Lepisosteus oculatus: one gene and its partner. The protein of the gene in region 1 purifies or fractionates together with the protein of each later gene. This does not show direct contact. Links are inferred from orthologs where the notes say so. Each region holds a gene or a part of one and is shown on either strand. Other genes may lie near its edges. The genes, in order: en1a and transducin-like enhancer protein 1.

Evidence for each region.
Region 2: the proteins of en1a (region 1) and transducin-like enhancer protein 1 purify together in Homo sapiens (affinity purification with western blotting; 4 studies listed by BioGRID and IntAct, with this or other methods). This does not show direct contact. The link is inferred for Lepisosteus oculatus from reciprocal best matches to the Homo sapiens genes EN1 and TLE1.

Annotation. Positions count from the first base shown.
Region 1 is NC_090707.1:6,368,305-6,383,776, reverse strand, and holds the start of en1a (homeobox protein engrailed-1a), read left to right. Parts: upstream 1-9,585; 5' UTR 9,586-9,891; coding exon 9,892-10,402; intron 10,403-13,763; coding exon 13,764-14,083; 3' UTR 14,084-15,472. UniProt on the Homo sapiens protein: Required for proper formation of the apical ectodermal ridge and correct dorsal-ventral patterning in the limb.
Region 2 is NC_090698.1:60,290,826-60,306,961, reverse strand, and holds the start of transducin-like enhancer protein 1, read left to right. Parts: upstream 1-8,503; 5' UTR 8,504-9,138; exon of another isoform or gene 9,139-9,235; 5' UTR 9,236-9,294; coding exon 9,295-9,318; intron 9,319-9,841; coding exon 9,842-9,942; intron 9,943-11,251; coding exon 11,252-11,315; intron 11,316-11,507; coding exon 11,508-11,552; intron 11,553-16,136. UniProt on the Homo sapiens protein: Transcriptional corepressor that binds to a number of transcription factors. Inhibits NF-kappa-B-regulated gene expression. Inhibits the transcriptional activation mediated by FOXA2, and by CTNNB1 and TCF family members in Wnt signaling.

The DNA of each region.
Region 1 (15,472 bases):
TTTTCAAAGTACTAGCATGTTATTTGTGACTAACTAGAGCCCGACTGCTGGTACTCCTGAAAGTATAATCTCGATGTCCATATGCAGTGTTTCACTGAAATACACCAGAATACTTAAGTGACTATATGAAAAAGATATGCTGGCTTTATAATGACCAGTTAGTCTCACGTGTTCCATTTCTTGCAGCAGCAGGAAAGTATTAATTTATACAGGTTTTTGCAACATCTTTATTCTAGGAAGAAAACAAATATAAAGATATATACTGTATATGAACACAAACAACAGATATTAACGTTTGGATTTCTTTTTTACCAAAGCTTACACCTCTCACAATGTAGTCCATGAATTAGATTCTCTCAAATTAACCCATTTACAGATATGACATAATAACTCAGCCTAAACGTTAGAGAAAAGGGTAGAAAATGGTCATTGAACACATGTTCTTAAAAATGTATTCATTCAATTTTTTTCCAGTAAGATTTGAGGTTGGAAAAAGTAATGTAAGAACATTTTATAGTTGAGGTATATTTATGAAGTGTAAATAAAGTGATGTAAATGGGATAATAACTGTTGGTTAATTGGATGTTAGCAACACAGCTCTAATTCTGATCATTGAATTAAACCAAATCAATCCTATCCCTATTTCTAACCTTGAACCATATCCCTAAACATAATCCTTATCCAAAACGCAGCCCTATGTGTATGTAATAATCTTTTATAACTGTTTATAACAATATTTATAACATGTTAATAGATTGTTTGTAGACAGTTATGTGGTCAACCTTGTAATCCACCCTTTCTTAAAATATATGTTGTATTACTGTATTTGCACTGGTCTTTCTGATCTCAGTTTTTCAAAATTAATTTCTGCTAACTTTTGCCTTCAATCTTCTTTGGTTGTGGAAATAGTGGGTACTGTGGGTATGATTGTTTTGACACACTGATGAGTTGGGACATCAAAATACTTGCATGGTACCAGGTAATAAATCCTGTTCAGATGTTCTACAGATGAAAATCTGAGTTTTTCTTAAAACTTTGCTTTTACTAACTCAAAGGAAGAGCGTACAGAATTACAATGACTAAAGTTAGGGGACTGTCCATGGTGCTGAACTCTGGCACCTTCAAACCTTGTATTAGAATAGAATCCACCTAACATAAAGACCTCTGTTCATTCCATTTATCAGAAGAATAACGGCATTAGAAACTGTACTATTCAGCAACATGAAAAAGGTCACCTCAATGTACACTATTTATGAGAGACCCTGTTTTGTCAAGATGTTTTGCTCAAGTACTGTGGTCCGAGTAACAGTTTCCATGACAAACACTCACCTTTTTGGACAGATGCCCATTGGCACGCACAAGGAACACATGGTGTGACACATTGAACAGAAGTTACTTCGTTTTCAGATCTACTTTCATGACTATCCCGTGGTTCACATCACATCCAGCCTCAAAAGAGAACACTGCCACCCCAAATTATTTTGCCTGTATTTCGCACGATGAATAAGTGTTAGGCACTTATTTTCTTTGTCTTGGATGCCTGGACATGGAGAATCATTAAAACAAAAAGTGCTGAAAAAAATCGCTTTCACTTGCTGACGTTGTCTGCTTGTTTTAAAAATGGCTTGACTGTGGTCACAAAGCGTATAGTAAATGAAGACTGAAGGCCTTATTAACGTTTATATTTGCATATAATTATGAGAGGCGTCCGTATCGACTATATAGTAATCATATTGTACTGTTAGTAAAAGGGTGTGTACCATCGTACAGAGCTTGGCGTGATATTCGAGGACAGTGAAACCGTGATGCCAAATATTACCAAGTAATGCGATACTATAACATTAACTTGTTACATTAAAACTCTCTTCGGCCAGTTTCTGCAGATACGATGCGAAGCACTGCGTTGCCATCTAGCGGAAATTATTTCGTCTAGTTCTGGATCATGTGATCCGGTGTAACAGCGCCGCGCGCAAGATTGGGAATTCATGCATTTTGATAAGGGACAGAGCGCGTCTTTCCGACGCTGATACACCGTCACAATCTTTTGTTTTAGCAGAGGATGACTTCGATTAAGGGAGACGGATAACGGCGTCACGTTTAATGGGTCTGCCTGGTACATTCGGTGACTGGGCGCTATGAACTAGTGTTAAATAAAATGATATATTTATCATCGTCTTTCTTGTAAGAAATGCAAATGCAATACGATCAAAATTAAGCATTTAGTCAGTACAGCACACAGATACGGCAGTTTCGGTTAGGGTGCACAGTTTTCCCCTGGAAAATCTAGTTTTGCTTGAGTGACCACAAGATGTCTCTCAGACTTCGCTTCTCAGAAACAGACTATTGAAAACTATTGAAAAGGAAGCTTACAGGATTATATGGGATGTTGATTTATTTCATAAAACTGAAATTGAACAGAATTCTTTAACAACCTAATTAGAATTTTTCATTTTCATTTTGCTTCTGAAAATCCGATTTTAGAATGAAGTTTATTTTATATAAACTTTGCTGTAACACACACCAGATCGGTGTATAAGGAAACCGATCTCTGCATCAGAGAAAATCACCGCAATCAATTTTTTAGTAAAGGCAGTGGAGCCTGCACAAGTCTCGGAATTAATAGCCCAATTAATCGAATTAAAAAGTACCAACTGATGCTTGTGTTTAAATTCATGCTTCCTTTTTCTTATAAGTCTTAATACTGTAGTAAATCGTCACGTTATGGTGTAATTTATATTTTTGTCTCATTGATCAATGAGATGTTATGAAAGAACTTCTAATGTTAACGAGCGTTTTGTATTTGATCTATTATTTAAAAAGCAAATGCAATATCTGCATGAACTGAAAACCTGAGCTGTTTTGGTGTATCAAGTAAGAAGCGTTGTCTGTATGTACATGCAATCATTTTCAGATTAATCTTGCATCTTGTTTAACTTAAAATAATTTAAATTAATCTTTAAAGTAATTAAATTACTAGAAGCTGTCTTGTATAATATATATATATATTTCAGTTCGGTTCTAAGACAGAACGTTTGGGTCACAAGTAACACGGAATACAAAATTCATAAAAAAACTTCCTAAACACATCATTTAAGAAATTAATAAAAATGTAATCTTGTGTACTGAGAAGTAAATATAAAGGTAATTATAACTCAGACTTATGCTACTAAAGAGGATCCTGACATTAAGATAAAAATGATTTATTCTATTTTATAAAATACAAGATGCTATTTAAGTTAATACTCTTGCACCCCTTTTTTAGACTCAAAGTTCGTCTGTCCAGTAAAAAGACAATACATTTTTAATTTTGCTAAAATGTGCAGTTTAATCATTGAAATGCATACACACATATATACAGTATATATACAGTAATTATAACAAAAGGTTGTCAAGAAGCCAAATTTATTGTTTTTAATTAGAAGCAAATAGTTTGTTCATTAGAAAAAAAGCCTTGTTTGTGCATTTTAATCAAATCAAGTTACCTCTCTCTATATATGTTTTGGGTACGGCGTATTTCAGACAGAAATGGGGTAAGGCTTCAGATATTGCGTATGTTCTGTAAATGAGGCTTTTCCAGGGCTCTTTGATGTGGAAATTATGCAAGGTCATTCTGCAATGGTCTGTCTTCTTGTTATGTTACACTGAACAGTAACATTCAGAGAAATGCAGAAGCGAACCGTTTCGATCATGACTGCGTTATTCGGACGTAAAAATCTTTATAGAAGAATTACGACTGATGTTGTAAGGGTACTAATAACGTCTCAGTTCTTTTAATTTTCAATAAGAATCTGAAAAATGTCGGGTCTATTTCTTCAAACCATTACTCACTAAAAGGATGGGCTCAGAATAAGCTTTATAAAAACAACGGGCAGACACCGACGCCAAGAACAGGAGAGCTTTGCTCGCGGGTCGAGAACTAGACCGTGCAGTAACACAGGTACACTTCTGTGTTGCTTTTAATTAAAACTTTCCGGGAAACTGTAAATGCATCAGTGATAATATAAAAATCACATATATATGTGCACACTCGTTTTGCCGATAAAATACTTAAGTCATTATATAGATATACGAGATCTATACGTTGCTCTGCGGTTCAGTGTGTCTGTTCCACTGGACTTTCTCGTCTTGCCGGAAGACCCCATGCGTGCGTCTTTTGCATGACAATTTGGAGAGGAAACCCTTTTATCGAAAGTGAGCGTGACTTGAATTTGTGTCGCAGTGATGACCCAGTTCCAGCTCTCGCCGCTGGGAAGCAGCAAAATTGCATCATTAAACTACAGAATGATATCACGCCGTTTCCCTAAACATTCTCCTGTTTATTAACGAAATGAACAATTCGGGTACGTTTTCTTAAGTTAAAGTGTGATAGGCTAATGCCACACGTTTGTTTTTTAAATGCGAAACCACAGTCTGTTAAGTTGTAATATGCTAGAAACTATTATTAACCTTTGGCTTCTATAACATGGGTATCACTTAGAAAACAGCCACAATCATGTCAGATTAAACAAATAATAGTTTATTATGTTTTGCATGAATATACTGTAGCTCAAAACGCTTTGCAAACGCTCTCTCTTGATTATTGTTCAATACCAGATTGTGTGCTCAGGGCATTCGAATTTTTCAAACTCCGGAACCCCAAAGATTTCTATAAATCATTGTTTTGTTGCTTCACTTAAAATGCCCCTCAACAAGATGGATCTTGGACAGCTTTCAGTCTGCACGGACTACATACTGTACTTTCAAATATGAGACATACTTTCTTAAAAAATGAATTATTTACCATCGTAAACAAGGTCTATCTACGAACGTCTGGTGCGCAAGAGACATTTGAAATAATAAAACGACCACATTCTCAGTTTCTGTCTATCTTGTGTCAATGTGATTCATACCATATCGCTACTCGCTAGGGTAATACATTCATTCTAATATATTATTATATATATATAAAAAAAAACCATTTAGATGCATGTGCTTGGGGAAAGGTGATGGGCGGGTGTATATAATATTTTCATCTGTTGTTACTGTGCTGAGAACGGAGTTCTGGGGAAATGGGTTTTTATTTTGTCTTGCTGTTTTGATATTTCTGCCACGTGAATTTCTACCATTTTATGTTCGTTTTCTATGTTGGAAGTTTGTTAACCAATGCTTATGTAGAACGCAATTCTTGTTTTATTGAGTTATATTCTGCATATTTAAGTTTCAATCTGATTTGTGAAATATAGAGTTTTTGCAATCATTTTTTTCAAGTCTTAAGATTTTTAATTTCGTTAAGAATTTTTAATGTGTCGCCTATCCATTTTTCAGTTTAACACGAACAATTCAGCTGATAATAAAAGTTGACTGTGTAGCGCACATATCTAAAGCCCTGATGTCGTTTTGAATTTAACTCAAAAAGCAGGTGTGTCACTTTGACCGGGATAACATAACAAAACGTTTTATATTTAAATATTCTCCCAAAAAAGGTGTAGTTAACAAGAGGGTAATGAAGAGCAAAAAACGCAGTTAATCGAAAAACAAAAAATAAACTGCTCCTCATTTCGAAAGATATTAGTTTATAGATCTATTACATATATAGAGTGTCATTCAACTGTTAATATTAAAAAGGTTTTAAAAAATTGTCTTTTTTGTAAAATATTGTGCGTATATATCATATTGCCCAGGTGCGAAAGTAAAAAGAATGCAAAGACACAACGCGTGAACTTACTGCATATGTTATAATTTAACACTCTAACCCCTCGAACAGTCCTTTGTACATGTGAGACCCAACACGTTTAACTATAGGAAACAGATTACCAACTTCAGACACTCATTTAATGATGCCAACAATACACGTTGTAGGTAAGTTCGAGTACATACCTTGGGAAATAATGTTATTTTTGCTGGAATAATTCACGTAGCCGGCAAAATGAAATTCGAATTTTCCGTACTTCTTGACCCCACTGATCGCTGCCGTCACTGTAAGATTTAAACATCTGAAAACCTCCTTCGCGATCGTGTCATTTCTGTGTAACGGGCAACGGAGCCCCGCGCAACGCCACGCACAAAGTCACTTCTACTTTTTTTGCACAATTGTAATACTTTATCGTTTTCGTTCCGAACCGCTTTCGGGCACTTTCTCGCTTTAAAACACCAGAATAGAACAAAATAAACATTTTATACTTTCTCCTGTGAGTTACAGCTTTCAAGTGACTGCAAAATCCCTTAGCGATAATTGAATTAGTCTATTGAAAGGACTGTCAGGTACAATGACGTGCTATACTCTGCACATTTCCCTGTGTCTATAGGCTTTGGGGACCCAGAATGTATAGTTTGACCTTACAGCTCATAATTATAATGGTGCACTTGTAGCAGAAATCTATTCGCATTGAATTCAAACAAAACCTGTGGTCACTCAGTCCCAGTAGGAAGGGTGAAATCCATTGTATTAAAACAACTCATTTATGTCCTTCTGCAAGGACTCTGCTCTGATCTTATCACACGATACACATGGATTTACTGTTTCAGCGAGAGGCAACACCCGGAACAGGTAAAGTCGCTAACGCATACGTTCTTTTGAAGGCTGTAAACAAACAAACAAAAATAATAATAATAACCATGGAGCCAAAGGCTGCATTTAATTCCAAACGTGGGTTGTTTCCAGAGGAAGCTCTTTTAAAAATTAATATTAGAAATAAACCCGTAGCCCGTGTATTCAAAAAAAAAATATGCTTTAAAACAGCGCTTTTCAAAGCCTACGTTTATATATAACTTCAAAAATAAACGGAGAGTTTGCTTCAAACGGAGGCCAAAGAAAGAAAATTCACGCTACAGCCTTGATCGTCATTTGGATTTTTTTTTTAGATAACGGCGGCCTTTGTTTTCAAATTGAATCGCGGGGTAACCTGCACAGGCGTACGCAGATTTCATTTCCTATGCTATATGTTCCTTCTTACTGCGGGTTATGGCCAGTGCTGAGCGGTAGTATGTCTGTGTACATACACAAAGGCATGCTCACAGACTGGCACCACACACACGAACACACTGTACACACAAGAACAGTGATGCCCTGCATTTTGCACCACCTATTTCAGTCCTGCAATTAAATAGCACGAAGCCCGTTATTTTGTTTGTGTTTTGTTCTGTAAATGAAACAATCCCCGCTGCTGTGTGAAATGTGCAGTTGTCTGGAATTGTCTAGCTCCCTGTGTTGGCTTTATGAACATGCACAGGATATAAAAATTGAGATTATTAATTTCAACCTGACCATAATGAAATTAAAACAGTTGCTACATCGATTTCTAAACGATTTTCGAGACATTTAGCAAAGGGTGTGTGTATTATATTCAATAATACAAGCTATAGGCCGCTAGTGCATTTATCATCCCATTACTGTAACAAATCCAGGCTCCAGTACATGAAAGGTAAAATGAATTACCGACGTTAAGCCGTCAATAAAGTCATTTCTGTAAATGGTGTCTCCAAAGGCTCCAGCATTATTCAACCAGCTTTATCAGCAGCTTGGAAATTACGTTGAGAAGCTCGCAGCGTGTAATATGGCCCTGCTTACTTTGATTAAGCGTCTTGCCAGGGAATAGTGACAGTGCTTTTGACCAGATTTTATTCACTCTCCTGTGATGAACGCCAAGCTGATCAGGCGGAATGAAGAGTAATTAAAACCTATAAATTATCTTTTGCAGTCCTTCTCAAGGCGTCTCTTGCAGGCAAGATAAGGCTGCGAGCCCCTATTTACCGACTGAAAGGGACCGGAGCTCACAATGGCTACGTGGCTAAATAGGATATTGATAGTGTCCTAATTAGAATTTAATTAAGTACCCACACTAGCTTTTGGGATAAAGATTTCAATTTTGGAACCTTAAATATAAATAAACTCAAACGAGTTGCAAATAACTACTTTAATATTTCCCTCATCATTTCTGTTAAAATAACAGTGCTATTTGTAAAAGAAAATTACAGGGATAACTTATTAATGCAGGACCGTCTGATGTTATGCATTAGGCCCGTGTTTCTTTACATAAACGACGAGTAAACGAGTATATATCGTGCAGAAACTTATTTCTTGAATTTGTATGTGTGCACATAGTGATTGGAAGGTACCGGGTGTCTGAAGACTGTTGGGTGATGTTTGTAGTTTTACATTTGTTTCGTTGCCCTTTTAAGTTATAGACATAGGTTTGCCTCGGAACTTTCTTGCGTTAAAGAAATATAAGCGAAAGCGGCCGCACAATTTCTATAAAACGAAACACCACCGAGTTGTTTCGGATATTCGGTTTGAAGTTTGTCGAAAAAGCCACGCACGTGTCCGGGGTCAAGCAGGTTTTAAAAGCCGGCGAACATTTTACATTCAGCTTTCCAGCCTCTACAACTCATCGCGAGCGATCAGTCTTTACGCCACAAATTGTGTTTTTTTTTTTTAAATAAAAAAGAAAGAAGTTTCTCAATGTAAATTTTGCCTAATTTTTTTATGAGTATTTTTAATTATTTTGCAAAGTCTTGTACACCAAGGGTAGAGGCCGGTAACACACGTTAGGTGTCTGCAAGAGGTTGTATTCAGTTAAAAGCAAATTTTATCTAGGTGACAAACATGAAGCCCCTTACAATTGCGGGTCTGGAAGCATAGTTTGAAATAACGCAGACTTGTTCAAGAAAGTCGCTCCAGACAGAAACATATACTGTAGAATGTATAGTTGGAGTCCGCTATGTTAATTATTAATAAATAAAAAAGTTAACTATACCAATATTAAAAGATGTGGTCAATGATATAAAGTAAAAATGTTTCTAACTGCTTTTGACTATCATAATCTTTTTTTTTTAAGTAAAGCGAAAAGCAGCTAATTGTAATCTTGTCCTTTGTGTTTTCCTGACAAGGTCTAATCCAAGTGTTTTAAACACTGGACGCAAAAACCGAGAATGTGATCAAAAGCAATTATCGCGTGTTGATTTTTTTTTTCTCCACGAGAAACATTTGAGGAATATAGTTAGCTTCACCTGTATTGTCAGAACTGCTGCAACCTCAACTCCACAATGTAAGTCGCTGTAAAACCGGACATACAGCAATAAAACTTTTTGTGCGCTTTTAGTATTACCTGCAACTTACCTTTCGGCATAATGCTAATTTACCTACGACCGCAAGAGTCTTGTGTTTCATTTAATTGCCTGGTTATTATGGGTTATGGGACGCGTGCGCTTGTGTTGTTGGGCATATTTTCTATGAAAAATAATAAGAATCATGCGGTTTTGAATCCAGAATACAAAGTTTTGGAAAACCTTAAGGAACCTGCATGACAAGAACACTAAGCATCGGCACTGGGGCTGATTTTAAATTCTCGGTAGTCGGCACTGCACATACAATAAGCATCTGCACGGATGTACAGAGTACCGCTGTGAACCCTTGCTTGGTTTTCTAAAGTCCATTTATTATTTATTTGCGAAGAATCGCAAGAGGCAATTGGGCACCGGGGCTGGTGTCAGAGCGCCTCGCTCCCGTCGATTGGTTCATTGCACGTGTGTGCAGGCTCACGTGCTTCCGGTTGGTGTGGAAAAAAAAAGTGTGGAGAGGCTGAGCGATTTTAGGAGAGTTTGCAAAGATCGAACTGTCATAGATAAGAGAAACGCAGGGACTTCAAACCGGCGCGCAATGTGTTGTCAGCTTCGCCAGGCGGGCAGATTATGACACTTGGAGCTAAAATCCTACACACTTGTAGGATGCCGCGAATTTAGAGAAGGTTGGTTCCATTTAAAAAAAAAGAAAAAGAGGTGTTTATTGTATTTTTTTAATATTGACCGACTATATTGCCAGGCTTTTTTTTTTTAAAGAAACGGGATACAAATAAATATTCGCCAACAAGTGGAGTTGGGTTCGGAAAGAGGAGGCGAAGCGAATTGGATCCAGATATGGAAGAGCACAAGGATTCAAGTAGCCGGGATTCTAGCGAAGGGGAGAGCGTCTCGCTGTCCCCGAATCTGCCCTCCCCGCCGATCCTGCCTCACCCGGCAGCGCAGCAGGCTCACCGAACCACCAACTTTTTCATTGACAACATCCTGCGGCCGGACTTTGGGTGCAAGAAGGAGCTCGGGAACAGGGACCGAGCGCAGACCTCCGGCAGGGAGAACGTGAACCCTTTGGTCATCAGGCCGTCTCACCCGAGCACGCTGTGCCAGGATTCAAACTGCAGCAGTGACAGCACCTCTTCCTCGTCCTCCTCGCCCTCGCCGGCGTCGAAACAGAGCCCGTCGAAGCCGGGCGAAGGAAATGGAACTAACACGGCCAAATACGGCGAGAATAACCCCTCTCTTATGGTTATGAGCGCGAATAATGGAGGAACGGCGGCGACTAAAGAATCTCAGCCGCTACTATGGCCTGCCTGGGTATATTGCACAAGGTATTCAGACAGACCATCATCTGGTAAGGCAATAGTTTCTTTTTTATGAAATAATATATATATATATTGCTTGCGTCGGGGAAAAAAAAAAGAGTAACAGAAAATGGATCACGCTTGAACACAGCCTGTGCACGATATTTGTACACACAGTCACAATACTAGATATACATACATTCACATTCAGCTGGGCGACAGAATAGCGAGGCGAGCGAGGGAAAAAAAAAGTTTCGAAGGCCGTTAGACCCGCTGAATGTTGACTCGCAGTTCACAGCAAATTAATTTAGATGCTAGAACTCTTGGTCCTTTTAGGATAACTAAATCTCAGTCTGTCAGTATGCTAAATGCAGGGCCTTTCAAACAAAATAATAATTGGAGGCCTAAAGGCCGCAGTTTAAGAGCACATTTTGTGTTTTGGAACCAGTAAATTGTTGCCGGTTTAGAAAACAGTGGCTGTTTCGTTTCGCATGCAACTGTAAAATTGTAGGTGGACGTGAAGATCTCTTCTCAACTTGGGCAAGTACGAAAATCAGCCTTTGTGTGTAAAAAATAATTTAAAATATGCATTTTAGGCGATGAATATTCTAACAAGGCAATCGGGCACATCTGATACAAAAACACTAGGCACTGAAGTTAATTGAGCATTCCGTATATCGCACTGCCTTTACAAACACGTTACTGTAGCCTGCCTTTGTGTGGCTAAGCGCGCTAATGAGAATTTCTTTTATGAAACCATATATAAACATGAGTGCAGGAAAAATAAAACACGATAGACAGTCACCAGTAACATAAAAGGAAATAATAATAACGAAATGCATTAATAACTTTAACGACACTGCATTCACGAGCCTTTGAGATAATCGGCTACATTTGAACGTTTATGCAAGATTCACGTTTCACGACGTTACAAAATCGATCAATGGATATTTTTTCAAGAGGAAAAAAATAAGAAGAAAAAGGGTTGTAGTGTGATAATATAAATATTTTTCTTTACTTTTTTGACCTGCACTGCAAATTATGTTTTCTTTTTTTTTCCCCATAACACGGAGGTACTGCAGTACACCCGCGGGACAGGACAGCGCTAGGATACCGCTTTCTAAAACGGGTTCTGCGCGTACTCTCAATCCTAGCAGCCTGCTATACCTCCACTTCTGAAAGTGATCAATTTGGAGGTCCTTCTCCACAGAGAATGGAAAGTTGCATTGACCGAGCTGATTGATAGACTGATTAAGCTGTCAGTGCGAACAGTTCACCGAAACGACACTGCTTGTTCTTAAGCTCAGTGAAGTTAAAATACAATATTGGAATTTGCTGATCTACTAGGTCTGTGTAACGTTCCCTGTGAGCTATGATATTTCTAGTTTACTCTTGGCACTGCTGAACCCTACGGTGAATTTAATAGAAATGACACATTGACAAGACTACACCGTACACTTATACAGAAGCTCTGTCAGTTCATTTGGCTTGATTTCACTCTCGGGCGCATCGATTTTAGGCCTGGATGGGGTAATCTTCTGCATTAATTCTTTTACAACAACGATCAGATTTAACTACAGACCCCGGAGTTCACACGCAAACACTCACACCTTCCCCTGATAAATTGGGCCATTCATTTAGGGCTGTACTGCTTGTGTTGAGTGCACTATCCGTTGTTATGTTTCGTTGACATTTATTAAACGAACTTGAACAAAGCCTCTTGCGTTATAGAATTATAGAAATATATAGAATGCATGTAAAACGTATTATTATTATCCATAATACTGGAAAGAGTACTTTTATAAGTAGAAGTAAACTTTATAGTGGTTTCTCTTAGGTCTCTAACCGCAGTCATCTGGAGCAACCATGTTCTCTTGCGGCTTTCGAAAAAGGAACAAGTAAAAATAGTACACATTTCTGAAAATTGCGCAATTTTCTAGCCTCTCAAAAATAAGTGTCAATTTATTTGTGTAAAATAACTGCAAAACGCTGCAAGTGTTACATTTTTCGTTCGGCGTGGAAATACCTACCTATAACACTATATCTACTGGATTTCCACTAGGGATAAAGTGGCCTGTGCTGTTATCTGTTTTATAAACACTGAGGACTCCTGGAAATGTGATAATAATACTGCAGCGTGTTCACGATTTTCCAAATACTGTAAAAGGCGTGGCTTACTCTTAAAATCTTTAGCCCGCATTCCTTGCATGTAAAATTAGTTATGTGAGGTTGTGTTTTGAAATATACTTTGTTTAGTGGGGCCTTACACTGTAGTTGGATGGTTGAGAGAATGGATCATTTTTGTCTTTCTCGGCGTGACAAAAGTACCATAATATAGTCTAATAGATCGCCCGCATAAAGATACAAAACTCGTGGCTCTCTCCTCGGGCAGACCTAGTATGATCATAATAAACATGGCGGTCTTTATCTTCGTATTTAAGACAGTATTAATATGCCAACTATTATTATATCGTTATAGGAACGTCTGAAATATTTTAAATGTCATAAATTATTTTTCTTTTTGATGAACACCCTCACACCTCGGCACACAGTGATCGCTGACAAAAAACAACTTTACAACCAAATCAATAATAACAAAATGATTATTGTAATATTGAAATGCCCCCCGAAAATTGCACTAAACTATGTAGTGACAACGAAGATCGCTCGTAAACGATCCTTCTAAAAATCCTACCGTATCAGGAATAGTGTATGTTTAGGCCGGAATTCTGGGATGTTTTTGAAATGTCTTCAAAAACGCAGGATGTTAAAAAATATTTTTTTTTCATATTGTATATGTATATTTCTGTGCACATTTTGAAATTCAGAAAAATGTTGAAACAGATCGGAAACGTTCTTTAAAACTTAAATTTAGTATATTATGAAAACGTTATCTTGTATATTATGCTTTTAAATAAGCGGTTCTGAGCGAAACAAAATGTATTTTAATGTACATACTAGTGTACAGTTTATTTCAGACTAACCCCAGCAACTGCTGTAACGGTCATATTTTGTTAGCCGTAATTTGCCAGGATATACTCTCAACACGCAACCTAACTGTAATAAATATTCTTTTGTTAGGGAAATAGGTTTGCCGAAGCTTGGAGCAAAACATTGGGAATCCCTTTCACATAAAACCAAAAACTACTCGTGCAACGCAAAGGTATAATCTAATCACTTATTGTAATGTAGTGATTTCGTGGCGCGTCATCAAAATTCTCTCACCTAGCAGAAAACATATATCGTTTCCTACCACTGCAGACAAAATTATTATCGGGTTGGTAAATGACATGGATTTATTCACGACCTCGGAATTCGTAGATCCCGTCATCTCCTATCTATAGCCTGTGGAACAGATACCCAGGGCTTACTGATATTTACGTATGCGTTTTATTGTTGTTTCTACACTAGGCCCAAGGACACGAAAATTGAAAAAGAAGAAAAATGAGAAGGAAGACAAGCGACCTAGAACCGCTTTTACAGCCGAGCAGCTGCAAAGACTTAAAGCGGAGTTTCAAGCCAATCGGTACATCACAGAGCAGAGGAGACAGTCTCTGGCCCAGGAACTCAACCTCAACGAGTCACAGATCAAGATCTGGTTCCAGAACAAGAGGGCTAAGATCAAGAAAGCCAATGGCTTCAAGAACGGTCTGGCCCTGCAGCTCATGGCCCAGGGACTTTACAATCACTCGACCACCACAGTTCAGGAAGACAAAGACGACAGCGAATGATCCCAGCACACTTTTCTTTTCCATGTACTGCCGGGCGCTGGCTGGAGGGCCAGAAACGAAGCTTTCGAAGACAAAAAAAAATTAACACAGCGAATGGAGTGGGACAGGTGCTATTTAAATCAGATCTATGTCTATCTCATAGTATATGGACTAAACTATATAAATAACGAACGATATAAAAAGTCTATATATAGCCAAACACCATAAGACGTTGTATATATTTGATTTCAGGTAAGGATGTGTCTATAGCGATCCCTACTTGCTGGAGATTTTATCTTTTTCTTTATGATGTTGTTGCTCACTGTTTTAGTACGTGTCTGACTCAATAGGGGTTCTTACGTGTTTTTGTGTCACTCTTCTTAACTCACAGTTCTATACAGACTGCGCTCCTGAACCGTCGCTACAAGCCAAAGATTTTAATATGTTCAGAAATATGTAGTCTGAAATAAAGTGTAGAATGTGCTCTCGATTCCTTTTTTTTTCTTGGCTGCAGTTCATCACTATTCCTTAACGTTTATTGTTTTAAATACACCTTGAGACTAAACCGAGCCACCTCAAGTCTGCGGGAGATCTTGAAGCTGGGAGGGCGCACAAGGCAGTTCTTGTAATGTCGGAGTTTATACCAGGTCAAAGTATGTCCAAACGCGCCCATCGATTTGATTCGATAATGCAGGAAAAATGGAAAATAAACTTTTTTTTAACTGTTCTATGTGAACGAGGGTTGTTTTTCCGTCCTATTACACTTTCTTAAACAAGCCTTTTTCGCAGGGGTTAGGGGTGAACAGGGGGAGGCTTCAGGAGAGATTAATTGATTACAAGAGGATTCCTATAATCACGCTCACGTGAGGTTTTTCCCCCGTATATGAATTAAGACATTACGTACAATACATGTACACAGACTATATATATCATGGTTTGCAGACAATTATGATAATGCTTAAATCACATGCACGTTTTAAATCCTCCGTCGCATCGATTTTAATTAATATAACTCTGTAATAAATGTGAAGGGGAAATGTTACGTTTCAATCTGTTTTGTCATTCAGGTATATTGAACCAAAAGTTATTCCAGGTCTATGGGGGAGCTCTCTCTACGATGTAAACAAAGAAGAGTTTCCTTAAGAGTAGGCTCCCGTGTTCTGCGGATTGGTGTTATTTAGTGGTGTCTAGGATAATGTGGTTTAGCTGCAAGCACAAATGTCTAGCGTTTCTGGTTGAAGGAATCGATACAAGGAGAGCTTGTGAGGTCAAATGAGTGTCTTCAAGGTCGCTCAGTAAGTCTAAGGCCGACTATCACTTAAGAAAAAAAACAAAGCAGAATCCACTGTTTGTGTCGCGGCAAAATGATGGAACACTTTCGTTTATTAAATGGCATTTGTTACCACTGTG
Region 2 (16,136 bases), on another chromosome or scaffold:
TTTTTTATGCAGTATATTTTATATTTTACCAGTGCGCCCAATTGTTTTGACAGAAAGAGAAGGAGTTTTGATCTTGTCATAACAGAAACCTTTTTTTTCTGTCAGAACATTTAATTTCCTCGTGACATTCCTATGTGCATCTCTCCACTTATATTGCCTCCATAGCACAAGATATGTAACTGAAGCTGCCAATTTTGTCTCCTCTATGATGCATGGTGGGAATTCTGATTGCATTTTTGCAGAGATCTTAAACCCATTTCTTTAGAACATAAATTCCAAACCTGCTTATACATTATATGCAAGACACATCCTTTGTTATTTCTGTCTACATTAGTGTTGGAACATTTAAAATAGTTTAATAAATCTATATTGACAGAAAAGCTTTTTGGATTTTTTGTTTTGCATGTATATTAAATAAGAATAACAACTTCTTTAAATGCTTTCTTTAAAGCATTACATTTTAATATTGCTACTTGTTGTATGTGCTGGCATAGAAGATATTAAGGCTACATTAGTAAATATGTCTATTTTTTAAAATCTTTAGGTTTTCTTGTAAGATACCAAGTTGTATTTCAGCCTCAATATAGAATTCCTTTTAACTATATCAGCCATTAGTTTTGAGCACTATTAGGTTGTGCCAAGCTGTTGGAAGAGATAAGTTCCATAAATGGTAGGTTCTTTAGTAACTTACATTATTTGACTTTTTAAAGAAAAAAAAGAGAAGTTAGAAGTTTTTTTTCAACAAAATCCCACCACTTCTGGATCAGTTCTGACAGAGAGTATGCAAAACCTGATTTGGGCTAAAGTCTGAAAGCCATGTTTCTATTAAAAAAAACAACACACCTAAGCCATTTGTTTAACCGCAAAGATTAGTTCAGAAGTGAATAGTATTTGAATAACAAATCCCGGTCATTAGTAAAATATAGCTCTCTAACAAAACAGGGACAACTGACCAGTGAATGCACCCAAAACAAAAGTAGAAGCTATGATCAATGTCAGAAAATAATCTTTCTGTTAGATTTTTGATAGATATACAGTATATTCAGTAATAAAAGTAATTTAACGCTGAAAAAGTCTCAAAGAATATGTAGCAGTAGATAAAATAACTTAAAAAAAATAAAGTTTTAAGTTGCTTAAAATGGCCAATGCATTGCAATTTTCAAAATGGGTAGGATTTTGTTTACACAGAGAAAATACATTTGAAGTACTTGAGTCATTGCACACATTTTGGGAACAAATAAAAATTAGAATAAACAATATTTGGATAGAGTACCTGTGTGCCCTTGAGAAATTACTACAGTCAACTGAAGTGTTAGAAGAAATGAAACAGATAATAAAGGGAGTGGCAAACACAGCAGCAGATCCGCTGCACATATAATTGTTGATAGGTGGGAACATGTTGAAAATTAAATGTAATGGTGACTATTGTAAAGTGATCCATGCAGTAAGTAGAAACATACACAATGAATACTGGATGAGTGAAGCTAAGTTACAGCAAGCTATGCATGTGACAGATTCCACTTATGGAAAATTCAGCTATGTCCTCATCAAAACAGAGACACAGAAAAACAATTAAAAAGCAAACAAATATCCTTGCTTGCATAGTACAATGTGTGCAATTTAAATCAGGTATTATTTAGGTTTACAATGCTTAGTAAGACTTCATCTTTAGATTGCTGCATTCAGTTTTAGTCACAATACCACAAAAAGGATATACTTTTAGAAGGAGTTTTAACAATAAGAACAAGAATGCAACAAGAATGACTTCTGGTGTCTGAGATTTTTTTTTATACAGACAGATTAAAGGAGCTGAATATTTCAAGCCTTGATTCAAGTATACAACATCCTGATGAGCACACGGGTCAAGCTAAAAGCTACTTCACGTTCAGGAAAAAAGCAAGACAATGTTATCAAAAGTGGCTATAAAAAAGGAATTTGTTTAGGATGGGGAGCTGCTGTTGGTGTCTGGAGAAGAAGCAGGAGCAGCTACAGCAGGTAGGTGAGCTCACCTCTCTGCAGGCATTAGCTGGATGAAATTTTAAATTCACTTAGCTACTAAAAGTCCACAAAAGCAAGATAAGTCAAATGACATGCTCTTGTTTCCAGCCTTACAACCTGTCCCTCCTAGAGCACATTTTAATTGTCAACTGTTTTTTGTTCTTCTCAAAATCAAACAATGATGCACACAATGTTAATCAAAGGAATGGAAGTGTAAGAACTGAAAAATGAAACAGCACATGCTCTTGTAAAAACAGAAAGTCTTTAAGTACAGTACACAGAATTTCAAATGCAAAATCCGAAATATTAGTAAATAATCTGGAATATGTGAGAAAGGAGGTAAAGTTATCATCTACAGAATGAGCAAACTTCAAATGGAATTGCTCATCAGACGTTCAATAAATACTACAAAGCCATTTAAAATCTGATAGAAAGTCACTGAAACAAAACATGCAAGGGAAAGGGTATGAAAAATGCCTAGAAATTACCAAGAAAAATTAATTTCTCTGTAAAGGTTTATTTTTATACATGAGAATAGTGGGTGATATCATTTTTCTCTGTGGAAGGATGATTATGCTGAATAAAAAGACACTGCTGTATAAGCAAAACAGGATTGAACATGACAGATTTTTGGTTGAAAATTACTAATGAAAAATAAATAATTAATTTTGTGAAGACATTCTTTACCACCTCTAGATAGGAAGGCACTCCAAAGCATTACATGTGAAACATTAGATAAATAGGATATCCTGGTATAAAGTTAATTTTCTGACTTCTAACTTAAAGTGTATATTTTTAGTAACACTACCTTACTGTATGTTGAGATTAAAATCTTGATTGAAAGTATCAGACACTTTATGGACAATGAAATAGGAGCAAAGAAAGTGATTTGGATGTGACTTTAATAAACACTTTCTAAAAACCTAAAAGATTTAATAACAAGAAGATAAAGAGATCAAAAAGGCAGAAGAGCCAAAGTGTAAAGATCCCACTTGGGTTTATCCGCCTTCTTGGTCATCCGAATGGAAGAAAATAGCTTATATCCTTTCTGATCCTTGGAAGCTGCTATCAGTTGTCCATGAAACAGACCTTCATAATAAATCCTTTACATGCCAGTGTCCTCCTAGGTTTAGAAATTTAAAGTTACCAAGGCTAAAGGAGTATCGACGTAGAGAGGAATCAAGGATAAATGATAGTCAGGTTAAAGGAAGCACAAGGACGGGCAAGTAATTAATAGGTGGACAGAGCTGTTAACATGCTAAAGGGTAATCTCAGATAGGAAGACTGAGCCAAAGCAGAGAAAAACAGGACTCTGGAGTGCTTCCTGGGTTGTTGTGGGTCTATATAAGGCTGAGAAAAAAAAATAATGGGAAAAGGGCGGTGGAGTGGAGGGGAAAAGATTAGGCAAAAACACAAGATTTGATTAAAACAGACCGGTTTCTGTGAATCTCTGCCAGATGGGAAATCATAATACATTTATTTAGCCTACATACAGTACATTATCAGCTGCAGTAGCAACCATCAAGTACAAGTCTGTGAACATTGTGCACAATGTTATATATGAGGAGTATTATATGTCATCAGGCTGCAAAAGCTAGTAAAAATGGCAGTTCTGACAACAATGAAGTATTTATGCATACTGGTATCTGATCCTTATGCTACTTCACCGCACAGGGTTAGAAGTCTGGGTTGTGTAGGTTAAATTGCAGATATAAACTGAAAATCGACCCTGCTCTTCGAAGGGATGAGGGCTTCTTTAAAGATCTGGCTTAAGAAAGACCTAGAGTCTGTTTATTTTACTCAAAAGAGACTAAACAGGTGGTTTGATTGAATTAACAGTGTCTTAAGAACATGGGGTGGAGTTATCCCATGCGTTACAATGAGTCTGAGCAGCTGTTAGGGGAATTTAGTTGCTGAGGGTGGAGGCTCATGTTTCTAAATAGAATCAAAAAGAATAAGTACAGAAGTACTTATGTGAATTGGTGGCTTTGCATGGTTGGGTGAAAATATTTAATTAGAAAATAACTAAATTTAGTAAATCAGTAAGATATACAATTTTGTCATTCTGAGTCTACATAACATTTGTGTATTTAGTGTTGCTGACAAACCTCAATTTCCTACAAATATATTTACGCATTCCTGAAGTTTGATAAATATTGTGTGACAATACTACTTCATTTACGTTATTTAAACATTCATACTTTCAAGTAACAGTTATGAATTCTAGCGAATTGGGTACCTTTATGAATCAATAAAGGCTGTGATAGTGATGCACATGAGAAATCAATAAATTTGCATGAACAGATTGTTTAATGATAACTGAAGACAGAAGAACATTGGAGGGTCCTGGCACGGTCTTCATCAAGCAGTGAATAAATAATAGCTGCAGTTGATAATGATGGAGATGATTATGATAACAGACACATACTGTACATTAAGAGAGTTACTTTACAAATGCAACACATATTTTCAGCACTTAGAGTGCCACACTATCCAATTAACCTGTCTATGTGTGAGAGTATGTCATTGTAATATGCTTATAGAAAATGGTAGCATTCATGTTCCCTTTTGTACACAGTGTGACAGCATGTGGTGAGCAATGTGTTTTTATTTTAGACATGCAATGTTGTTACATGAAGTCACTGGGGCATTCAGAGTCCATCAATCAATCATCACTAGACATCAGCAGTGCTACAAACTGAAAGAAAGCACCTGTGACCAGCCCAGGCTTGGTCAACCAGGTGTAATGACTCAAGTGAGACCACCTGAGAAACTGCTTCCAAAGAGGGCCAAATATGCTTTCTAACACAATTGGGTGTCAAAAGACTCATAAACCTGATTGCAGTCATCGGGCAGTTCAGAGCTGTAACATATTGTAGTGTCTCTACAACAGTACTGTCCAGACTCAAAATCTGCAACATTTGCAAGCAAGCTTCTGACAGATTTCAAACAATTCATGTGGAATGCATCACTTATTGCATTCAAATGCTTTATCCCCATTTAAATGGTCAGTGGTTGACATAAGGGTCATTATGTCTAACACATATACAGTATGCATAAATTTGGACATAGGCAGAGATATTGAGTACAGACTACACCCATCATCTTATTATTAATCTGGGAAGCAACTGCCAGATAAGCAGCATTAATTTGACCATGGTTAATGATGACATACGCATCTACCACTGCCTGTCCTGTCCCACAGGTGTTGGATTGTGGCTGCAGTGCAGTTGGTCAGTTCATGATATTGATCATGTTGCACATTTTATGATGAAAGAGTGCAGTATTATTTTGACACTGATATTGCTGTGGTAGAACGCAAGTGTCATGAAATTGTAAACATGAAGTTGTATAGTCAGGTTACAATGGACATCGAGAAGCTGACTACTAAACTCTGCATTAATATCTTCCCACACCATCTGTCCATGCTCAGGTGATGCTTTCTCTATCCAGCCCCACGCCCAAAATGGAAGTCAATGTCAATGTCTTCCTGTGCAGTTTCTGTTTGAAGTGTTGATGTCAGCATTATACTATTGAATTATTTATTCTGAAACAGTTTTGCTGCTGTGAAAAAAAAAATAAAGGGGAAAACAGAGATCACTTGCATTTGCGATATTTTGAGTAAGGATGCAAAAAATGTTGTTTTCAGTAATGAAAGGTGTAGAGTTAGAAGCAAATTGACAGTCTTAAGTGGATTGGCGAGTGATGTCTGAAAAGGGTTAATCCTAAATCTGTGTCCGATTTGCAGAGGAAAAATCACAAATGGTGTGGGGAGCCATTAATCCAGAATTTAGGAGTCAGCTTCTTGATGTCCATTGTAAACTGACTGCACAGCTTCTTATTCACAATTTCATGACACATGTGTTCTGCCACTGTAACAGCGATATCAGAGTCAAGATAATACTGCACTCTTTCAACATGATAGTGTACAAAATGATCAATATCGTGAGCTGACCAACTGCATTGGAGCAACAATACAACACCTGTGGGACAAGATTGGTAAATGCATATGTCATTATTAACCATGGCCAAATTAATGTTGCTTATTTGCCAGGTAATTCCCAGATTGAATATAAGAACATGGGTGTAGTCTGTATTCAATATACTGTATATGTCTATGTCCAACATTTTGCATATACAGTATGTGTTAGACATAATGGCACTGTCAATCATTGACCATTTAAATGGGGATACAGCATTTGAAGCCAATGAGTAATGCATTCTGTAAGAATTACGTGAACTCTGTCAGAAGCTTGTTTGCAAATGATGAAATGATATCACAACCAAATCCTTCTAGTCAATTAAAAATATAAAGAAATGCATTTAAAACAAATATTAGGAGACTCTTCTTTATACAAAGGGCTGTGGGAAAATGGAACAAGCTACCCAGCCATGTTGTTGAGGCTAATATCCCTCCTTTTTTAAAAAGACAGCTAGATGAGATTATCAGATAAATTAGTTACTAAATATCAAATAGGTAAGATCTTTGAATGGCCTCCTCTGACCCATCCTTATTCCTTATGCTCTTTTTGAATAGCAGCAGTCATTATTGTTTAGCTTCAAGATGAGTAGATGATCAGTCTAGCAATGATTAACGTTGCCATATGTAACTGAGACTTTTTGTAATTCTTCAGGACCAACAGGACAATAGTATTTCTTTATCATTTCCACTGATATAATTCTATTCCACAGGACGAAATTAGCAGGTTTTATTACTGATCACTTGATGAATCCAATATGTAAAGGAGTTTAAACAAATTACAACACCACATGGTTAAACGGCTCTTCATTATCTGTACTGAGTCATTGTTGTTCTTGCAGAGCTGTGCTGAATCTTTAAAACAAAGTTTAGGTTAAAATCCTCAGCCACAAAATATATAGGTGGCAATCAATAACTTCCAATGTTTCAGTCAACAAATTCATTACATTAACTAGAGGAATAAATAACAAGTTTCTGGTTAGCAGTGCAGTTGATGCAATGTTAAGAAGTTAATATGAGATATTCTTTAAATTACAAAACAGCTTGTGAGGGCATAAGTCTTACTGCAGTGTTGTCAAGGTGAGTTAGAAATCTGTCCATATACTTTGAATTCTAATGTGAAAGCAATAACCTGCTGTCTTCCATCAGTGTGATCTACAGTCACAAAGAGCATCTGGCATGATCTCTGACCCCACTACATCATGTCAGTTTTACAGGTCAGCTGTTCCTCTACTCCATCTACCTACTATGTTGTCATTTTCTACTTATTTTATTTTCGTTTCACTGCAAAGTATGACTTTGTTCAAGTACTGATCTATATGTAAGAAGCAGCACTTAAAAATGTATTTGAAGCTGAATAATGAGGAAACATAATTATTTTTGTACATTTCTTTTCATTAACTGCAGTTATGCTTATGGTGTGTTATTTGAAAAATTATACATTTTTACAGTTGATTTTGTAGCAAATTTAATTAAATATATAGATGGTCAGACATGCAGTTTTGTGAAAAATCTTCCTCTGAATACAAAACTCTTTTAGTTCTAAAGCAACTTTTAGGTCAGGATAACCTAAAAAATAATGCCTTACGGGTGACAAAAAATCTATTTTTGTATGCTTGTTTTATATGCATGTGCAGTAAAAAATAAAAACTTTTAAGGTTGTAGATTACCATGATCTGTTTTTTTTTTAAGATATAGTAAAATGTCTGGATGGTTGGACAGAACAGAGTTAAAAATCTGAAATAGAGATTACATAGAATACAAAAATTATAGGTCTGATATGTGTGATCAATTAATAGATTATTCACTGTTAAGCTATGGGCAAAGTCAACAAAAATACAGTAACTCCATTTCTAACACATGGGATTTTAGACTCAGAATTATCACATCCAATCAGCTTTTAAAGAACATATTTATTGAAGTGGGATGCCCATTTTCTGTAATGCTGTGTACCAGACGCTTAAAACAGTAAAAAAAATAATGAAAATTTGTAGGTGTGCAGATGATAGGTAGGCATCTTTAATAAAGCTTTATTTCTCAAGGTTGATTTTGTCTTTAGAAGTTACCTTTCCAGCTTCACACATATGCTAAGTTACCTTTCAAACCTGATGTTCTTAATTATTTTCTAGAACATTTTAGGTCTTTTTTTTTCCTTGAATGCAAAATCAACAAGGTGTAAACGAAATCGAAATCGCATTGTTTGTACAAGGAGAAAAAAAATCCGATTCTGTCTCTTTAAGGATTTCGCACTCGTCCCACGTTACTTTGACTGACATTTGAGGATTGTCACTCTCCCGCAGACCGACCACCTCATCCTTCATTCTTACATTTAGCACTCTCTCCTCTGCCATTGGTTGCCTTTACCGTATCTCAGCATAATCGACAAGCATGAACTCTCACGTATTGATTCTATTGGCGAGTTAGAGAGGAAACGTCATGACCCCACGTGTACATCTAACCTTGATTGGCTGCCGTGAGTTTTCAGAGGCAGGTCTAGATCTGGTTAGTTCAGGGAGTGTGAAACCGCGTGTTAATGTAAGCAGTGGGGAAGAGTGGGGTTGGGTGCTGTATTGTCATTCTTATTATTAAGATTTCCATTTTTATTGATACTTTTTATGTTTTAATATTCGGCTTTATTATTGAGCTATAGTTTAGGTGTTGTATTATCGAGTACTTTTTAGTTGTTTTTTTTAATATCAAGTGCATTTCCATGTTTTGCTAAAAAAAACATTTTCATTTTATCCTGGAACAGCACACGCGGGGGATACTTCATCAGCCATTTGGAGGGAGGTGTTATTTTTTTTTAAAATAATCATTATTTTTGAGACTTTTGCGACAAACGTTTCGGTTTGGTCTTTTTGTATGTGTCGCCTGTTCGCTTTGTTTTTGATCTTTCTGGATATCGCTTCGGGGAACCAGCGCTACGTTGTTTCATTGGGGGAAAGAAAAAACAGTTCCAGGGTGGACTTTATTTCGCTGTTTGTGAGCAAATGATTTTCTCATTTTTGGGGGGATTTTCGCTTTCTCTATTGGACTAACTCGAAAATCAACGAAGGTCCACTGTACAACACAAGTTAATTGCAGACCTGCGACGACTAGGAAGCGCTTGTTTTGTTCTGCGAAGGAGACGGTGGAGTGAAATAAAAGGACGGGGCACCGAGGTTTGGTTTGCTTTACGACCCCATTTCTTCGGGGATCCAGGATGAATTTATCCTAATTCAGAGTTTCCTGCTTGTGCTTCTCAATTTCTGCTGAAAGGGGTTAAAAGATAACCGAGAATTGAGGATTCCCGGAGGAGGCGCTTGGCTGAAGGAGCAATGTTTCCTCAAAGCAGACACCCTGTGAGTGTAACAGTACAAAGGAAATGGGGGAAAAAGGAAACTTCGCGGCTTTTGCTTTCCTGGCTGAATTCGTCGAGTTTTAATTTGTTCGTTTGTATGCAAAAAGTGAACGTTTTACAGTGCACTGAATGCTACGTTGTTATAATACGGGTTAATGCTATCCAGTCGCTCATGCGCTAACTCTTCAGTCGTTTTGATGCCAGAGTTTATTCGTTTCGTGGTTTTCCAGCTTTCCTTTTGTTTCTCATTTGATTAAGTCATAAATGCACAGCGCAGTCTTTTTTTTTTAAATGGGTTGCATATGATACGTTCTTGCCTTACTTAATTGGTAACAGCAATATCTTTGCAGCGTTTTATAGCTTTTTTCCTACACGACAGCCTAGGACTTGTCTGCCCCGCTTGTGATTTGTTTCAGTTTTTGTAGTGTCGTGTGCGTATAAAACTTCCTTTCAAAATTGTGAACTAAAATCGGCAACATAAAACCCGTGATTCTGCTGTCCTTATTTCATTTCTACTTTGACAGACGCCGCACCAGGCTCCTGGGCAGCCCTTTAAATTCACAATTCCCGAGTCTTTGGATCGGATAAAAGAAGAGTTTCAGTTTCTACAAGCCCAATATCACAGGTTAGTGCAATTTCCTATTTACATAACAGTAGCCAGCGCGAATATATCTCAATTCCGGACGAGTTATTTACATTTGACTGTTTTGTGTCCATTCTGCGGTAGGTAAAGTGTGGTAAGGTTGAAGAACCAGAGGGTGGCGTTTGTAGTCAGGTTAAATAACCACTTTCCTTCCGTCTGTGGACAGGACTTGTCTAAATGTCCTTGTGGTTTAGGGTGTGCATACACTCTACAGACATTTACATTGCATTTCAAAAGTTCTAAGGCCGATGTTTTTCATCCTTTATTAACTCTGATCCCGGCTTGTTTTCTTGGTGTCCATGAACAGTTAACTATCGTGTGTTTTGAAATGGTATTGTGAGGAATTTGGCTTAGGAGTGTAATGGCAGCTCCATATACTTTATGGAGCTTATGTGTGCAGTCTGGTACGTCAGCCTAACCACTTAAAAATGGAGTTTATCGAAACAATATGTAAGCAGTTAAGCATTTTATTTACTCAAAATTGCAGCAACACTTCAAATATAATCGCCCTTGTTTTTTTATATATGTCAAGTGATTTAGTTCTGCATTAGTGAACCAAAATGTTTTCCCTTTCAGTAATATTGAAATGGTAATCACTGTAACAGCCAGAATGGAGCATTACTTTGTTTGCCATCTTATTTTTTTTAAACACTTACCTGTATGAGTGGTCATGGAGTCATATTGAATATAGATGACATTACCTTTGGCTTAAAAGAACTCAGAGAAAACAATTTTCATTTACCCTGAACTCAATTTGTAAGACTGGATGTCTTAGGTGAAGGTGGAATGCTGCCACAGTATTTCTGAGACAATCTTATTATACACTACTTTAACATTTTGTTCTAGAAAGAAAATGAACTGAACAGAGATCCTGATGTAAATGTGTCAGTGATTGAATTTGAGGTCCACATGTATATAATTTACTTTAAAATGGTTTACCTATAGTGCATTAAAAACACCTTGTCATTATGGGAGCCACAGTCACCAACAGTGCATGTTTGATGTGAAATTACTGGAAAGTTAACAAGGATGACTTGGGATCTGAATTGCTCTTTATAGTAAATGCAATATGCCACTTTTTTTTTAAATTGAAGCTAATTGCATAATTGCTTGATAATTTGCAGTTCAGTACAGAACTTTCTTAGGCCCATGTTGATACTAAATATGCAAAATTCAGCACTTTTTCATTAAGGCAGGCTTGTTACAGTAATGTCAGTTCTTAATGCGATTTTTGTTAACTGTTTCCTATTATACATTTTAATTGAACATGTAATTTGACCTTTGTTTTTAGTCTCAAACTGGAATGTGAAAAACTTGCAAGTGAAAAGACAGAAATGCAGAGGCACTATGTAATGGTGAGTTACTATTACGCAGGCTTTTTGTGCAGATTGCCAATTTCTCCTTTTAAAATCAACACGTTTGAAAGTAATCTGTGATGTTACATGGTTGTTGACTTTTGTGCATGTGGAAATCTACGACATAAACAGATGTTTGAAAAAATGTGTGAGGTGTGCTCTGAAACTGACAAGATTAACATGTGTTCACAGTACTATGAAATGTCTTACGGGCTCAACATCGAAATGCATAAACAGGTAAGCTCCGTTTTCTTCTTTCACTTACAAAAGTTTTCCAAGTTTACATTAGAACAGGTGCTTGCCTTTTGAGTTTCATATCTTTGGACCAATTTAGTTTACATACTAGGGAGGATGGGGTTTGTAAAATGGGAAAGCAGCTGAAGAGATTGTCATCTAAATTACAAAAATGGCTAATGTTGAATGAGGATAAAAGGTCTTCAAAGTAAGTTTGAAAAACCTTCTTTTCTTGCATCATTATTCTTTTTGGCTTGACTGTTTTATAAATGTAGATTTTGACTCTTGATTTGCAATAGTGACTTCAAGAGTGTAAAAGCATGTAATTCATGTTGATGTTTCTTGCTTGCAACAGGACTCTAGTAAGTAAGGATATAGCCTGGAAGTGTCTTTTGCATTACAGGACTGCAGATTGGTTTAGATTGATGTGTAACATAGTTAGCTCAGGATGAAGGTGAAAAGAATGTGGTATTAACATAGAGGAAAGGGGAATGGAAGCTAAATGATGACTAAATCAGCCTGATATGGAATTGAGTAGGCATTGTCTGCCAAAGAATGAATTAAAGGCTGAGTGTAAGTACTCTGCTTGTATGCTGACATTCACTTTTTCATCAGGATCTTGGCAACAATGAGTCTTTAAGTAATCGATTGCTTCTTTTAGAAGATTATCATTAGATGAGGTTGCAGTGTTTCAAACGTAGAATGAAATTCTTGCTTGATGCATTTGTGCTGTCTCGAAGCAAACCCTTGTTTCATTAAATTAAAGGGCATGGCTGATGGGCTAAAGGAGAAGAAATTGATCATGGAAGTCTTCAGATTTTCACTGTGCTCAAAGAGTTTTACTAAGCTAATGTACTTTGAAATTCCCAGTACATTTCTGTCTTTTTCCATAGATATTCGTAGTCAATTCAAAGGTTGATAGCAGCACTGTCTTGACTGTTCATATTAAATGTCAGAAGATGAATAGATGCTGAAAAGGACTTAGTCCATGTCTGTCCTAATTGTTTCTAAAATCCAGTGGAGAGGAAAATTACAAAAATTGGAAGCAATTGTATTTAAGATGACAGGTTTTTTACATTAAAAGGTTTTGATGAAATGTCCTTATTTCTTTGCATATTTGCAATGAATTGTGGATAAAAATGCATGATCAGTTTTTTAATGCTATTATGGACATTTTTCACTGAACAAGGATAGAACTAATAGTTTTTTAGAATAACCAAGAACTGAAATCTTTACAGGAATGCCGTTTTATCTTCCTTTTTTCTAAGTGTGCTGTAATACTTTTTTTTTAAATGTAGTTACTGACGTCAAGTGAGTATTTGGAACCTCAACGGTTCTAAGAATAAAATGATAAAGTATTGAATATTCACGTTCTTTGGACTTGGATAATATCGGAGATGTCTCGTGTGAATGTACACTTTAGTGGTTTTTCATAACTGATAAGTGATGTTTTAGCGTAGAGGGGAAAAAATGCTTCAGGGTGGTGTATGTTTTGAAGTGCCTTGGCATCAGGGTTTAAGGTAATGTAAACCTACTTGGATTGTATATATTCTGGGGGAGACAGTGTCCAAGTTATCTGTAGAGGTTGATTGCTTGATCAACAACTGAAAAACAGACTGGTATGTGCAATAATAACACATTCTCTGAGCTGCACAATCTGAATAAATGTGGTCCAGCCTTTCTGACGGTGCAGACAGTGTCGCAGATCCTGTGGAGGCGTGCAGCATGAAGTAATCATAATTCTTATTAAAACTGGTGACGTCTGGGCCCAAGGGTGTAACCAGGCTCAAATTGATGCCTTTTCTCTGACTGATCACCAGTGCGTCCTAAGTGCTCATTATGTTGTAGAGAAGGCCTCTGCAGCTCTCATTACATTTGACAGGAATTCTCTCCAGAGGGAAACTGGGCATTAGCTAGGCTCCTGGCAGGCTGAAATTATTCTTTTTATTGCTTATAAGCAAACGCTAGCATTCATTGTAAAGGAAATGTCATTTTGACAATGTCTTTGTTATTAGGAAATGCTCTGCTGTGAAAGTCTTTTTTCCCCCCTGCCTTGTGCTCCAAGGCATGCTTGTCTCCAGGGCTAACTACAGACTCAGTCATTGTGAAGGCCTCCTGTGGGTCTTCTGTATTTTTTTAATTCAGCCATTGCTGCTCAGTCAAGGATGAGTATTTATATATATATAAACTTTCCCAATCAGCTGTCCAGCTCAAAGATGTGTATGCCAGCTTAACATTCCTGCTTTAAAAATGTAGGAAATGTGCTTTAATATGGGATGTATAGCATACACACTGAAAGCACTTTCAAACTGGACTCTAATTATGGAAATATAAAACCATTATCTTGAAGTATTTTACTCCTCCACGTTCATGGCATGTCCTATAATATTTTTAGTAATATTACTTCTGTTTCTGTCTGACACTTTCCCCTTACAAAAATGTATCATTAAAATGTATCCACTGATTTAAATAGGAAGACGTTATGAAAAAGTCGGCTCTATTGTTTTTAGGAGAAAATCGTTAAATGTCATTACCATACAGTGTTGTGTACTTTTAGATTCATGCTTGCACAGTCAAAATACAAGTATTATTTTCTTCCTTTCAAGATACATTGATGTTCTTAGGTAATCAACCAGATTTTCCAGTTTTTCTAGTTTTCTTTTATCTGCACACTCAACTGGCTTGACCATAGGCCTATTCAGCATGTTAGAGACTCGAATTCAAGATTTCCCATGGGGTTTTACCAACACTTGGAATCGGACCACAATAGGGGTTGTTTATGGGTCACTTATAATTTCCCCTCATTCTCATTCCCCACAATGTACTAGTTCAGTTGTTGTGTTAATGAGTGAGACAATGGGTACATTTAAATAAGAAAATGCACAAGAGACATCCAGGGTTCTCATATCACGTAATTAAAACGGCACATTTATGTATTTGGCATTAGAAGGCTTAGATTCATGATATGTGGTAATATCAGAATGAGCTGTTCTCGACAATTTCAGTATGGCACCTTTATGCGCATCTTTGAATGTTGCAGACCACATAAGCATTTAATATATTTTAACATTATCTCTAGATTACTTTTTTGAATGATCAGGTTGGAACAGTGTTTTTTAATCACACTAAAACCTGATTTGTAACAAGTTTTATTGCCATTTTGAAACTATATATGTTAAGATAATAGTACCCTTAAATGCTTCTTTAATTACTTTTGTAGGTTTTAGTGTTGTATTTAACAATGTTAATGTTTATTGTATTTATGTTGCCATAACATTTAAAATTGTACCGCCCTTGCCAAAACAAGTTTACAGACTGCAATCCATTTTCTTGCTCATTCTCTGTTGCCGGTTCTTGAACCTGTTGACTCAGGTGGCATGTCTGGATACTGTGGTTGGAAAGTTTCAAGCCCACAAATACAGGTGGTGTATTTAGTAAGGGGTAATAATTCTAGGGCTTAGTATGATGGTTCTGTGTATGTAATTAATTGCTGACCTTACTGGACTCTCTTGTGTTTGTAGTACGTGTGCACAGCTTATAAGACCTTCAGACATTAATAGTCTTGCTGTTCTGAAGGGCTGCTGTCATCAGGCATTACAGCAATGCCCTTTTATTTTCATCAGCTGTGACTGCTGTCTGGTGCCTCCTGGCATAATTCAAGAGATAAAGCTTCCTGTGTCTAAAGCCTGGATTGTTTAGGTGTAGGATTAGCTTTTGTTCAGTGGCAAGCAGCCAAAGAAGATTCACTGCTGCTAAAGCCCATTGATAGACCCTCTAAACTACTACTCAGAATGTTTAAATTCTGCCCTTTTCCCTTTAGCAGCTGTGTGGGCTGTCATTCTTCTACTGAACTGTCTTCAGACTAATTTCTTTCCCTGAAGACCTTGGGCAAGTAATGATGCATTTAGCCCAGAACTGTTGTCCAGTGTGATCTGAACTGATGGCAAAGATCTGTTTTTTCAACAGATCATCCTGACCTGCTATTTTTCCACATCCGTAAGTCAGTCTTTGACTATTATTTGCATACTAGTGCAACATAATATTTTTTCATAGTCTTACACTTCATTTTACTGAATAGGACCTGTCTTATCTCTTTGGTTGGGAAGGGAAAAAACTTGTGAATCTTTGCATGATGATCTCAGTTATAATTTTGCACTCAAAATGGAGTGAGATGTATTTCAATTTTCTTGGTGTAGAATACTATTCAGCACCCCAGCCATCTGGAAAGCCATTTTTATTAGTAGTTATATAGTTGCACTGTTTTATGGTACTTAAGAATCTGAATTGGGACTCGTTGTAGAACTGGATATAGTCAATCCATCCCTAAAATTGACATGGACAGAATGTTAGTCACATGGTTAAGCATATTTTAATAATTCTAAGACATGGGCATATTTTGTTTGGCAATCAAATTTTTAATATAATTGTTGCTAAGGTTTGAAATTGTATTATTTTTATGCTGTACAGTTAGGTACCAGGATTTAAAGATGGGTAGAAAAAGTACCCTAATGTGTTGTGGAATTCTTTCCTCTGCGATTTTCAGCACATCTCCAAAAGACAGGTATACAGCAGACAGATTGTTTAAAT